Linked DNA regions of Lepisosteus oculatus. The protein of the gene in region 2 purifies or fractionates together with the protein of the main gene of each other region. This does not show direct contact. Links are inferred from orthologs where the notes say so. Each region holds a gene or a part of one and is shown on either strand. Other genes may lie near its edges.

What was found. Proteins that work in one complex are often made in the same cells at the same time.
Region 1: the proteins of ezh2 (region 2) and AT-rich interactive domain-containing protein 1A purify together in Homo sapiens (affinity purification with mass spectrometry; 3 studies listed by BioGRID, with this or other methods). This does not show direct contact. The link is inferred for Lepisosteus oculatus from reciprocal best matches to the Homo sapiens genes EZH2 and ARID1A.

What each region holds. Positions count from the first base shown.
Region 1 is NC_090706.1:7,219,249-7,226,599, forward strand, and holds the start of AT-rich interactive domain-containing protein 1A, read right to left. Parts: upstream 3,023-7,351; 5' UTR 2,696-3,022; coding exon 1,769-2,695; intron 1-1,768. UniProt on the Homo sapiens protein: Involved in transcriptional activation and repression of select genes by chromatin remodeling (alteration of DNA-nucleosome topology).
Region 2 is NC_090701.1:2,908,427-2,915,677, forward strand, and holds the start of ezh2 (histone-lysine N-methyltransferase EZH2), read right to left. Parts: upstream 3,019-7,251; 5' UTR 1,954-3,018; intron 1,705-1,953; exon of another isoform or gene 1,647-1,704; intron 1-1,646. UniProt on the Homo sapiens protein: Polycomb group (PcG) protein. Catalytic subunit of the PRC2/EED-EZH2 complex, which methylates 'Lys-9' (H3K9me) and 'Lys-27' (H3K27me) of histone H3, leading to transcriptional repression of the affected target gene.

The sequences.
Region 1 (7,351 bases), on a different chromosome or scaffold from region 2:
GATTTATTTAATCTTTATAATGTGCAATCAATCTAAGACCCTTTATCAATTATCTAAAGCCACAACAATCTCAAAATTAATTTTCACTCCCTGAAAAAGAACAACCTCTGAGCTATACTGTAATTGTTAATAAAATTAAAATGAACAATTCTGATAACTTTTTATAAAGTTAGGAGGCTTTAAAAAAAAGCATTAAAAGCATTAAAGTATAGCATCCAGATGGTAGAAACTATGTGGGGGGGAAATTCCACTAAGTAAACTATTAATTTATCCTAATAATAATATATGAATGAATGGTTTACTTGGTGAATACACCCAAGAAATACAGAATTACTTGGATTAAAAAAACTGAAAAAGTTCTAGTTCTAATAATTGAAACTGCTCAAAAGCTTATATAATGAGATGTGGATGTTATCACTAATACGGATTAGAGAAAATGGACATTAAGGTTTTAAAATTATTTCCCCGTCCAGTCAAACAGATCCATTTCACACTCCATCATAACCAAAAATGACCTGTGACTATTAAAATTATTGATCAAACTATCAACAAGATGCGCCCTTACACAAATACAACCATAAACACTGAACAAAGCTGGAAGATTTTTTTTTATTAATGACATATACTAAGTAAGACACTGGGGGGAAAATGTAACATATTAAACTGACCATTATCAATGACAAATTGACCTTTTACAAGCATCACAGAAGATAGTTCTGGGATCAAGAGAGGCAGCATGCCTGAAAGTAAGCAATGTGTGTTGTTAAGATGTTTCTGTTATCTTCAGAGTGTAAAAGTATATGAGCTAATCAGGGATTGTTGTAGCATTACATCAGATGCAATTATAAATGGCCAAGAGCAGAGGATGGAGAGCCAATCAGATCTCAGCTAGCATGTCAACCTAAGACCAACTGTCTCCTGGCTTTGACAGAAGGATTTTACCTCCATAATTCAAATCCCAAAGCAAAGCAATCTGCACTTACTCAAATCACTGGCCATTGTTTACTAGCAGCCTAAGGAAAGAAGAGCCCCGATCTGGGAATGCAGGGACAGAATTAAAACGCCATTCTCCGAGAGGAATAGGAGGTCAATGTAAAAACTCAGCAAATATAGTGTTAAAAAAAACTTCCAGCTCCAACTAGACGTTTATAAAGCCAGCACTGTTTTAGTATTTTCTGGAATGTTACATGCATTTTACAAGGATCAGGAAATCTTACTGCCATGCTGGGAATTTTCCCCACTATTAAATCCAAATATGCAAATGTAATTAATACAAACGTGCGGATCTATTAGTTGCTATAACCCCCGGACACACCAATGTTGCTAACGAGCGGCTACAGGGGAAACAGAAAAAAAAACCACCCCTGAAAGAGACAGAAAGCCCTGAGAATTACACATTTTAATTACCTTTTAAGCCGTCCTGCCCTGCAGATAAACAACACGCGAAACAAAAAAACGCCTTTCGCTGTCATTTTACCTCTTTAAAAGTCGCCTCTCCTTTTAGCCCGACCGCCCAAACTTCGACTTTTCACCGCCGGGCTCGGAAAGACGACGATTCGGCTCGACCAGCCGCTTGTTTTTACTAGATAAACGCTGTTAGAGGAGGTGGTGTGGAGAAAAAGCTGAGAGGCAGCCATTTTAGAGAGTCTGAGAGAGAGAGAGACAATGGCAGGTCCATTGCACTAGGTCCTAGTCTACACCATTACAGAGGGCTGCGAGTGTAAAACACAGCCAAGCACCGCGGGCTCCGAGGCGAATGAAACTTTACCTGATTTCTGCTTAGTGGTTGCCCAGTACTTCCCGGGCTCATAGGCGGCGGATGATGGGTCCTTTGTTGCCAACCCTGGTGGCCACCATACTGACTGCTGCTGCCCACGTCTACTGGTCCCTTGTTAGCTCCTTCCTGGTTACTGTAGTCGCTAGGGGGGTAGTTCTGGTAGCCCCTCGTCGAGCTGGGAGAGGTCAGGAGCTGGTTTAGGGTTGGGGTGGAAGTCGGCTGCGGGTTTCCCATAGTATACCTCTGATTATTGTAAGTGACAGCCATAGCTGTAGTTCCTCCCGCTGGCGGCGGCGGCTGCTGCTGCTGCTTGGCTGGCTGCCCCCCAGCCGCCGGAGGCTGGTTGTTTCGCGGGGAATTCATAGTGTACCCTTGGCCGGGGTAGGCAGTCCGATTGGGGAATGGGCTGTAGTTGTTAAACTGGTGGTTGGGGAAGCCGTGGTCGTGCGAGTTGGGCTGATAGGAGTCCATCATGCTGCCTGGCTGCACGGCCGGCCCCGCCGCAGCTGCCATGCCAGGGCTTTGTTGTCCGCCATGTTGATGAAAAGGGCCCCGGCCGTAGTGCGGGCTGTAACCGTAGGGTGGTGGAGGAAAAGCGGCGGGGTGGTGGTGTGCCATCCCGGGGTGGTTATTCCCTTCGGGAGCTCCTGAATCATTCTGGTTATTATTATTGTTCACCCTGGACGGATTCCCGTTCCCGTTCTTCATCTCCGGATCCCCTCCTCCCCCTGCATTTCCACCATCGGCCCCGTCCTGTAGCTCCTTCTGACCCGGGGATCCACTCTCCGATCCCGGTTCCTTATTTTCCTGCTGCTTCTCCCCCGGTACCGGCTCCTCCTGTGGGTCCCGATCCGCTTTTTTCAGTTCGGACGGCGGGCTGGTGTTGAGAGTGGCGACGCTGGCGACCTGAGCGGCCATGATATTCCTCTCTCTCTCTCTCTTTCACAGCGAGTCAGTCACAATCAAACACTCAATAGCATTGAATATAAATACAATTATTTATAACAATTTACCCGTGTCCCGGCTCATTCCCCCCTAACACCGGACCGAATCCGGGCTCCACTCCCGGCTCCGATGCGAATTAAAAGTTATTGAAAAAAAATAAATAAAAATCCCGGGAATGAAATTAACCGACACGGAATGTGGGGGGGCTTCTGTTAGAGAACGAGACTGAGAGCGAGAAACTGATCAAACCAGCACGAGGCTCCGCGAGACACAGCCATTTTACTGAGGCGCGCAGAGAGACGCAAAACCCGGACTGGAGTCCCGAGACGGGGTGGAGCGGGACTGAGACTGGAACTCGACCGGGGTGTTTTGAAATCACAACAGCAATAACATTTATCGCAAAGTGGATGGTAGAGGGGGTGGCGGTGCAGAAAATAAGGGAAACGCAGACGTCGGCTTTAAAAGGTGCCGTATCCTGAGAGGCCCCTCATGCTTTAATTGGGCCAGTTCAAAAGAAAACATGAATATTATTTTTTAAATCCCATTTTCCTCTTCAGGAAAGGGGTTGTGTGCATTGGAAAAAACACAGTCAAGATAGAAATCAAACAAGTTCACGTGTGTCAGGGTGTGTGTTTGGTGCTGGGTGGGGGAGAAGTGTTATATATTTGTTTAAAAAAACAGAACGGGTACTGTAAAAGAAACTATCACTGCGGGCACAATGGGAAGCCTATTTAAAACAACGCATACCGAATGGACGCGAACCAGGATATGGTTACACTTTATCTTGCGCCCGTGTGAAGACAGGGGGTGTGTGGATGTTAAATGTCCTGCTCCTGTGCGCTCAAAAGCAGGAGTGAACTAGTTGCCGTGGACGGTTCTGTGTAAATCTTCCGCGCACTGCGAGCATGTGAAAAGTGCGACTGTGTGCACAGAAACACCCGATCTCCTCACAGAGGCGGCATGGAATTACAGCGAGAGAGCGAGGGAGGAGGGGTGAGCTGTGGACTGAACCAGTCACAGAGCAGGAAGTGATACAGAAGGCAGGGGTGGGGGGGGGAGAGATCCGCCGCAGTAGCAGCTACAGTCCAGAATACTATTTCTTAAGAAAACAATGCATAATATTCCGACTGTGGCTTGGCTGCGCAGCAAAAGGAGAAGGGAAAAAAAAAACTAAATAAATAAGCCTCCGGCTCTCTTAGCGTCCCGGCGCATTTAAAGAGATCGAGCCGCCATCCCCGATCCGCGCACACACACACACTCACACCCTCTCGCTCTCCCCACCCCCTCCCCGCGCTCGCGGCCTGTCTCTCCGGCGCAGACGCGCGCACACAACTTCGCCTCTCCAGCGCGGGGGGATGGGCGCGCGGGCGCCACAGCGCCTTCCTCGCGCGGGGGCCTGACCTCGTCCGGCGTGCGGAGGAAGGGGTTCCCCTCGGCCCTCTGGCGGGGAGGGGGGATAAAACCAGTGGCTTATTATTTGCGTTTGGCGGGGGTAAAAGAAGAGGTATAACCCCAAACCCTGCCTAGTCAGGACGCAGGGGGGAGGAGGTTTGGGGGAAACTCATCCCAACGTCCCCAACTCTCTCTTCCCCCTCTAAACTCGTGTCTCAATGACCTGTTTTTCTTTTCCACCCTTTTTTCTCTCTGCACCCGGGTTTGTTCGCTTAAATCCCTCTGCATCCCTTTTATGTGTCGGCTGTCTTCCACGGATGACGACGACAGAGGAGGCCATGGAGGAGGGAGGGTGTTTCGACGTCGATTTTGCCCAACGCTTTCCTCCCCCCGGCCTGTTCCGTCCCTGGTCCCTACCCCGCCTCCCTCGCTTGCCACGCGTTCGCGCCGACTTCCCCGCCGTCCCCCGCGAGCGCGCTGCGGACCCTCACCGGGCCGGGACGCGGCACTGCGGACCCTCAGCGGGCCGGGCCGCGGCACTGCGGACCCTCAGCGGGCCGGGCCGGGGCACTGCGGACCCTCAGCGGGCCGGGCCGCGGCACTGCGGACCCTCAGCGGGCCGGGACGTGGCACTGCGGACCCTCACCGGGCCGGGACGCGGCACTGCGGACCCTCAGCGGGCCGGGACGCGGCACTGCGGACCCTCAGCGGGCCGGGCCTGCAAGCCCGACAGGTTGTGGCTCAGCGCGAGGTGCACATCTGCTCTGCGGACCAACTTGTTGAGGGCCGAACTGCCGGCAGCAGCGAAGGTGTGTTGTGCCTCTTCGCGCTCGGGGGGCCTGGGGGAATGAGGGCGGCTCCGATGCCCGTTGGCCTCGTTTTACCACAAAAAGCCGCGCGGGCCGGCAACGTTTTTCACCCCACCAGCCCCCTCAGCTAGCTCACCCTTCCGACTTGACTCGCCCCCCCCCCCGCAAACTTCCAGACGCCGTGACGTGTCGGAAATCAAAACGCCGGACAAAAGAGATGGTTTTTACATGGTGTTCCTTGAAAGTTTTGACATATTTTCCTCACAAAAGGACCGAACGTCCGTTGTCTTCGGCTGGGGCTAGGCCGTGACGCCGGGGGAGGTTTTGACAGCGCGCCGCCTCTGTGACTCCTCTCCTCTGGCCTCCGAAAGCCAACTGCTTCCCCAGACAAGAAAAAAAAGAAGGTGTTCCCTTGTTTTAATTTTGGATCCAACTTTCGCGTGAGCAACGGTCGCACGAGCTGACAGAAACCCCTGTCCTGCAGAGAATAAGCTTCCCGGACTTTGAAGGGTCTTGCGCTCTTCTAGAAGAAGAAAGGAGAGTGAGGCAAACCAGGCATCCAGTTGGCCAGGTGGAGAAATAGAGAGGAACTTAATTCGTTCTTGGTGTTAAAATCAGGGACATAACTGACAGCCCAAACTGCAGGACAATTTTCATCACGTTGGCATTCAAGTTAAATACGTCCATTAAGGATTTTTTTTAAAGCCACAGTAAGACAAAACAACATCTAACGATCGTTCACCACTTTGTCTGTTTAGGTGCCTTTGCAGAAATTATTCTCTACAAAAGAAAGGAGACCGTTCTGCAGGATAAGCAGAGGACAGCACAATTCCCCTTTGCATGACATCACACTGCGCTCAGATCACACTTAAGTGGTTAACCCAGCCCCAGTTACTCACACTGTTCACATTAATAGCAAAGGTAGAATCCCTAAGGCCTTCCACCTCGTGTGTCTCAGCAATCCCACCGGGATAGAGCACATGGCACTGTGAAGGAATCCGCAGGATTGTGCCCCAGGAAAATTGAATGTTCCAAGCCTATAAATAAATTGGATTTGAAGAATATATAATATTAAGAACATACAGTATATAATCTACCAAAAAATATGATAAGCCTGTATTTGCACAGGACATCAAGGATAAGAAACCTGGCAAGAGGCCTTCTGAATTGCTTCTGTAATGGTTCTTGGTGTTTCCGCCCTTGCCACTCCTGCCCTGCCAGTTCGTCCCTCACCGCCTGGGCACGAACCCAGGTCTCCGGCGTCATGCAACAGGGAACTTGACGGCTGAGCTAAAGGAGAGCTCCCTCAGCCCGGGTGGCTGAGATCCCTGTTATACGCAGGGGCATATTCGTTACACTTGGACGAAGGAAAAAAAAAAACACACACACAGCATTGTAACTCTTTCATGAAGGGTACACCACACCATACAACAACATGCATGAAAACCATACAGCAAACTGAAATTTCACATAACTTGACAGGACTGCTGCCACCGACCTGCCCCTGCAGAAAGTTCCTGTCAGCTCTCCAGTCCTTCATATCCACCTGACTTCTCCCTAGAAGTCCAGAGCTCTGATCTTGGCTTTCTGCTGAAACTGCGTCTCGTTACGAACCGGTACAAAATAATGATGGGCCCATAATGGAATTTGCACCAGTGGTGGTAAAGGATAATGCGTGTTGTTTTATCGTATGGTGCAGTGCTTGTGAAGGATGGTGTTTTTTTTCACCATCGTATGGGAAAAGCATTGCCAAATTTGCCAGAAAGATCAATAACCTAAAACTGAGAACTAACATCAAAGAGCGTGGGTTTGGTACAAACGCTGTACATGACATTTTTCCATGCTCAGGCCTATATCCACTCTCCAGGTCCCTGGACTTGACACTTAGCAGCGAGCTCCTCAGGTATGACTGGTCATCGGTTACGTGCTGTAGGCTGCCCTTCTCCCTACCGTTTCCTGCTAGGTTAGGAAACTCAATCCGTCTTCCCACAATAATGATTAAAACATGCTGACCGAACAGCCTCTGATCTTGCCCCCCGAGAAAATGACGAATGTATCACATTCAGGCCTCCACTGGTACAGGGCTTCTCTAACGCAGCACTCCTGAAACTTTGCCAAGGAACAGAGGCCAAAAGCATGCCTGTCTCGAACATGACACCCACCATCACCCAGCTGTAATACAAACCTGATACCAGCTGTACTCAAACATTGGCCCAACAGTGACTGAAGCAAGGCCTGGTCGTGATGGGGAGGGATGCAGACTCTTTCTGTCCCACGGTCACAGCTCCCTAACCCTGAAAGAAAACAGACTGTGTTTCATACCGCTGACAGAGCAGAGCCTGCTGGCCTTACTCACAATGGACATTCACTGCATAAATAAGGGGAAAATTCTGCAATCACACAAAGATTACCAGAACCCTTAATTACA
Region 2 (7,251 bases):
TGAGCCATACCCGAGAACACAGCTGGGGTGCGACTGATCACAAACATAATTCCCCTTCTCGGCTCACTCCGGCTGCACCGCTTCCTTCTCAGAAAGAGGGAGGGGAGACCCCTGTCCCCAGGGGGGACGCTGCTGCAAGCCCGACGGGTGGCTGGCTGGAACCTGACCAGAAAACAAGAAAGGCCCCGCCAGCCCCGACTCCTCCCCACCCACCTACAACAAGCAGCCGGGACAGCAGGCCTGCGCACCACATCACCGCTGCGGGACCAGAACCAGGACCAGAACCCTTCAGAGAGGCGGGCAGCGCGGTCCCGGAGCCCGTCAAGCCCAGGGGAACAGCCAGGACCGTCCCGCACGGCTGTGCGGCCGATTTCAGTCAGGGACCCATCAAATGGTAACCATTCGGGGCTCAAGAAAGACACGTAAGGAGGTGTCAGTCTTCAGCGCCGCGCAGAGCCTCAGAGCTCTGAACCGCGCGACCCCTCGCCCTCCTGAGGCGACAAGAGCATGAGTTCCTGGTCCGGCAGGGCCGCTGTCTCACTCTCCAGGTCTCTGCAGAGCTGGGAGTGGCGGGGATGTTGGGCCAATCAGGTGGTAATTGAGGTCTGAATGACAGCACACGCCTCCAGGACCAGGACACCCCTGACACCAAGACAGCCACGCTGGCCGCTCACTCGTAGTGCTCACCTTCTGTGTACAAATTCATCCAGTACTGCTGGCGTGTGGAAACAATGAGACAGTACCTTACCTTCGAATAATTTCTGAACTGAGGTACGTTTATGAATTCACAGATACATTCTTAAAAACATATCTATTCACAACTTAAAAAAACAGTTCACATTTTTTTTTACACTTAAACCCAGGCCACCACAACCTAAATGACACCACATCAGATTTACACTGCAGGCAGACTATCAGACGACCATTCTCCTTAAAAAAAAAACTGAAGAGGATGAAAGAGTGAAAAAAAGAGCACCTGGTAGTCTCAAGCCAAGCCTTCCACATTCGCCCCGATGACCCGAGGTCACGACCAGTTCCTTCTGATGGAGGAACATGGGAACAGCTCCGCACGCTTCCCCACATGGGGCTGCTCCGCACACATGGGGCTGCTCGCTGCCAGCCATCGAAAACCAACTCGCCGGGACGCTCAGCGCCCCCCAGGACATCGAAAAGCAAAGCAAAAGTGGTCCAGTGCAAACCCTACCTCCACTCACCTATTCCTAAAACCCCCGGCGGACCAATTCTTTAAAAAAGAAAACAAAACAAAATCTAACAGCAACACAAAGCAGGGGATCAGATTAAAATAATAATAATAAAAAAAACCCGTGTGCACTGACGTGCTGTCGCGGAGCCCTCGCCAGCCCGGGACACCACACACAGGTAGAGACAACGGGCTCTCACGACGCGCCGCCTCGCCGAGGTCAATACCGGGACAGCGGACTTCACCGACACGGCACGGCGCTCAGAGAGGACCCGAGGCGACACCGCCGGCGCCGGAGAGGGGGCAGACACACACACACACCCCGTGGGAGACAACACCGGGCGAAGGAGCCACGCACGACTCTCCCACCCGGATCCCACACTGCGCGGTGGAGGGAACCGCACGGCGCAAAACTTCCGCCCCGGTACCGCCGGCTCAAGCTCACCCGGACAGCGGCCGTGCGGACTCTCTCGACGACAACAACAAAACAACAACAAAAAAGTCTTCACCGCTCCGACCCCCCCACACACACAGGTCTGCACTCCAGCCCGCCCGAAACAAAAAGAAAGCCGTTTCTTCTTCTCCCTTTTCCGCCAGCCAGCCGAGCCGGGAGAAAGAGAGAGAGAGGAGGAGGAGGAGGAGGAGGGGGGAGAGAGAGAGAGAGAGCGGGGGGGTTAGTCGTGTGAATGGAAAAACGACAAAATGGAAACAAACCCCCCCCCCACACACACACATAAAAAAACCCCTCTCACCTGTCGAAGAGCCGACTCGACTCCTGGTCCACAGCCACCGGGGTACCGAGGCGACGACCCTCCCGTGGCTCCGGGACCGACCGAGGGGCGCCGGGTAAACGGCTCACACAAAGAGGCGCTGCCGGGGCCCGGCGGCTCCTTCCTCCTTTCCCGCTCGCTGGGCGCCCCCCCCCTCCCTGGCTCGGCAGGGCCGCTCCGCTGCGGCCGGCACTCGGTCGCCTTCGCCTCGGCACGGAGTCCCCTCGTCGCACGGCGATTTCCGCTCCGGCAGCTCTCCGCTCACCGCCCGTCGCCTCTGCTCGCTCGCTGTCCGCCCCTCGCTCCGCCAGACCGGGGCCTCGGCGAGCGCCAAACGCGGCCGCCAATCAGCGAGGAGGACACTCAGCCCCCCCAGTATCGGGGCATCCGAATGGCCCGCTGCCGCCGGGGAGCTGGCCAATCAGCGGCGGCTGTGCGGCAGGGGGCCCCGCCTGCGGGGACATGTGGAGAAGTTGCCTTTGTTCCTGGGCTTGTTCGGTGGAGTGCTGTTGAGGTCGGCGGTTGCGATGCTTAATTTTTTGTTTTCACTCAAAAAACAAAAACGAACAGTCATGCTAATGTAATCGACAGCCTCTTCGTGTTCTACGCCGTGGCATACGCAAAGCGACGCGTTCCAGCTGGTTTATTTGTGGTGCATCTTTGGATTGCAGAGAAATGGCCAATTGGGGGGGGCTGTTCTGCTCTGAGCAGATTAAAATATTTTTTACTATTAAATCGGAAACGTCTAAGCGTATTATATACGTCTCCCAGGATGTGGAAGAGCCGTGTCAAGGAATGGGGGTGGATATAAAAACGCTTTTGTCTCTTTCGCTCTTTCCTAGTTCAGTCACTTTCACAGCTAATAAAAAGTTTCACCAACTTCCACCCGTCCCTCAAATATACGGTTAACATATCTTCCACTGCTCTTCCGTTTCTAGACATCAACTTCTCCATCGACTATCCCCGACTGTCCACTTCAGTTTAATACAAACCCACGGATTCACACAGCTACCTCATGTACAGCTCATTTCACCCCAACCACTAAAAAAAAAAAAAACCTGAAGAAAGCTCCACGGCCGAAACGTTGTGTTCTCTTTCTTCTTTTTTTCAGCATGGAATAAACCTATTACTTGTTCCTAATAAAAAGTTGTGTGACTACACCTCTTGAGATGTGGAGCTATAACTATATCCGCCTCAGCCCTGTAGTTATGCAGAGCTGACGCCTGTTGACGAAATAACTTATAATGTCACTTACATAGATACGTGTCGCTTTATTTTATTCACTGGAAAGCACGGACCTTTTTTTTTTTTAAATGTCCTTCAGTTATAGTACCGGAATAGTAGAGTGTTTTGACAGAAGATAGTCGTTTTCTAATGATTGTTGTGCATTAACCTTTGTCACTGGAATCAATATCCAAAGGACTACTTTAAAGCAGGTTGAGGGGAAAAAAGAATGGAATTATACTTCACAAAATGAAAGGTCTTTGTTTATATTCTGTCCCCGGCGCATTATTTTCTCGCTTTAATTAGTATCTTACCTGCTGTAAAATCCCTCTTGAAGACACTAGTTTAATCAAAGGAAACTCGTGAAAAACAGTTGAACGCACTTTTCACGGTCTGAGGATCACCCCATCCAGTAGGCTCTAATGAATATTAGCCTAAATATAATTTAAATATCCAAACTGATCGGGCTCAATAATTATGAGAAACTGCTTTCTGCCCTTCCTGTACACAGCATGTAGAGACAACTCACACCTCTTCTGGACTTTTACCCGTGAATTAGAGACGATTTGAAATAGTAGATCAAACAGCTCAGTTGTCATCAACACTACTCTATCTCAAAAATACATTAAATGAAGTAGATATACGACATAAGTTTGGAAATAAATATTCAGTCAGCTTGCACAAATACACATAGCGGTGGATGTCCTGCAACTGTCTCAATTGGAGTGGTCTAAAGGTTTGTTCTCACATAATCATTTTTCTACCTTAGTGGGAGGCGTTTGTATCCGAACAAATTACCACTTTCCTACCAATACTGAGCTCTTGACCTCTAAATTTGACTTTTTTTTAAAAGTGAAAACAAAGCAAATATTTTCTTCTTTTTGTCCTGTGCCGACAGGCTGCCTCGCTACGTCACGACGTTACCGAGGTCTGTTTTCATCATTTTTGACTCCCATTCCCGGATTTCAGATTTGAACTCCTCGAAGTCACGTTCTTTAACCATCGTTAGACACCGCCATGTGCAGAAAGAGCTCTTCATCGCCGAGGGACCTGAGGTATTTCGACTGAACAAGTACGAGACTTCAAGCCCCGCCTGAGTGACTTTACAGAGCAGGGGCAGAGACGTTCTGTGAATCGCGTGTTCTTCTTTCATTTTTTAAATTAATTTAATTTAATGAGTTAATTTTAGGGTACTTTAAGATCCATACCGGCGCACAGAGAGATGGTAGGTTCAAACATGTCATTGTCATGCCATCGGAAAACGACAAGTGTCGATGTTTGGATGGAGTGCCTCTCAAGGCAAGTCCGGGCTCACAACAGTTATTATCTTTTGCCATATTGAAGGGTAGGGGTTATATTACTCTATGTGAGAAAGGGGTAGTTGTTTCTACAGTCTCGCCAAGACTCCGCGCCCTGTGATTTGCCGGAGCTGTCTGACAACACGCTACAAAGTCGCCCTCTCCCACGCCTGCCTGAAATCGAGCTCAGCTGCTCTCCGATTGGCTGACAGGGTCTCACCGGATCCCTCCCTCTCCTGGCATTGGTCTCCGGCCGCGGGCCACTCGCGCCGTGATTGGCCGGCTGGCGGTCGGCCCTCCCCCGCCTTCTCCTTTGAATGGGGCTTGGCGGGCCGGACGGGGGACACCGGCCAGACCGGACTTGCCGGGTCGGCGGAGCCGTGCGCGTATGAGATACAAGGAAGGAGACAGCAGAGGGAATGTCTGCCCATGGAGACCCACGGAGGAAAAAAAAAAAAAAGCACGAGGGAACAGCTCGCTAACTCCCTTCGGGGTGGACTGGGTTTCCTCTCGAAACCAGAGAAAATCTTCAAATTTAATGGAAATGAACAGCTGATAGATCCCCCCCACCCTCCCAAAACTACTCTAGAGTCGAAATAAATATCTACCCGTGATCAAAACTGTGCAAAGATATTTTTAGATTTGAATCTATTTGAAATATGCCACCGGAACAAATACCGAGTAAAGTCTAATTATCATCCACAATGAAATCGCTAATTTTCTGCTGCTATCTTACTACAGCTCCCTGCTGGCAGGCCCCTGGAGCCCAGCAGGTGTGAGCCTGGCCGGTACCCGGACGGGAGACCCCCAGCTGCTGCTGGAAGAGGTGTGAGTGGGGCCAGCGGGGGGCGCTCTCACCCTGCGGTTTGCGTGGGTCCTGATGCCCCAGTACAGTGTGATGGGACACTATACTGCTGCAATGCTCTGTGGACAGCGAAGGGCAAGACAAGGCACAGAGAGGCGTCGTGGCCATCCACCGCCACCGACTACTCGTACCGCCACAGGGCGAGGGAGTGGGACTGTCCCGGCGCGACAGCTTTCCCACTTCACGAAGCTCTCCCGCACGGGCCTCTTCTCCCAGACGGACGAGCTGTAGTCTTCCTCATCATCTTCAGGACCTGCTCCCAGACTTTGCAACTGCTTCAGCCCTTAGCGTCGTGAATTCCTCTTGCTGTGAAGTGCCTATTTGCTGTATCTATTTTGATATTCTGTCTCTTACGTGTCGTAAGACACCCACGCTGCGGAGCACCGCCTAGGGAGTACAGGAGAGGGAGGGAAAAGGGTTATTAATGACCCTTAGCATTTCATTCCTCATTGACGGGGTGTGCGCGTCCTGCTCTCTCCTCGTGTTTCACCGCTGCTAGAACCCGGAACGCCTCGCAGTGCGTCACATGTGAATTTTTTCCACGCCACGCCACGCGTGGGCCGCCCGCCGAGCCGCTTTGAAGTCTCTCCGCGTGGAAGGCGGCGGTCGTGGAGATGTCTTAGCTCGTGTTGCGTTTAATCGTGTTTTTTTTTTGTTTAATGCAGAACAGATAACCTCCCAGTAAAGACGATTAATTGCCTGAGATGTGTTACAGGATAACGATACCGTGATCACGACAGTTCAGGTACCTGCTGCTGCCCTTGGTCACTCTCCGCGCTCCTGATTGGTCAATTACAATTGCTCCTTGAGTTGTACTTGTATTTGTAAATTCTTTATACATGGAAAAAAAATTACAATTGTTACGTCGATTGCAAAGGTCTGTGCAGAACACGTGCTTTTAAGCTAATTGGTGTCTTGCACTTACTTGATCAAAGGCAGCTCGGGCTGCAATGCTGTGCTGAAACGATTGCGTTCACAAAATAAAAAGATGGTACGTTCACATACTCTCTCACTTTGGGTACCGAATTTAACTTTTCATTAAAATGTCTTCCATTTTCAAGGAATGTTCAGAAATGTAATTGGCGTGATCCGTTATTTACAGCACATGTTGCTATCGTTTAAAGCGTGACTTTCTGTATAATATTGCATTCATTTCTGAATGGCTAACACGTGTGCATTGAGCGTAATATAAAAAAAAATGCTGGAACGAGTATGAAAAGTATTTCCTTGTTTTGCATGGATTTTTCAGTTGCGGGGTAAATCACGCAGTAGCACGGAAAAAAATAAACTAATTTCATTTTTAACAGTATTTTGTCCTCATCGGCGCTGAAATTATTTTTTTTCAAACCGTTCTCTCCCCCCAGCGGTCAGGTCTCGGTATTGCAGCTGTAAAACTGGCAGCTCGCTTTGCGATTATATGTACAGAAAAAGTAGGACTGAAAGGTGTGGAGATCAAAGCAAAAGTAATAACGTTAATAACATCTTCATTATTTATTATGATTTGTTACTTTTTATTTTCACAATAAATTGTCTCATTTTGGAAAAATGCAGCCGGTTGATGGATTGGTTCATTATCGAGTGCAATGGTTTTATGCACAAATGCTGGAGGAGGGAGGTCATCTGTGCACAATGCGATTTGGACGGGCTAATTTGTCATTGACTTCCCCCCAATAATCGTCCGTCTTCTCTTCTGCTGGTCTCGAGTTGTCTAGTTGCGCGGCCGCGTGTGCCTGTAATACAGTTGCGTACGATTTGCATATCCCGTGATGCTTCAGTACGAGGCTTACGGATGGGGGGACAAAAACGAGCTTTGTCTTCGGTGTGTAGCGCTATCATTTTTATCTTCGCTTGCACTGAGCACTACATCTATCTGTAGGATAAATTAAGTGATTC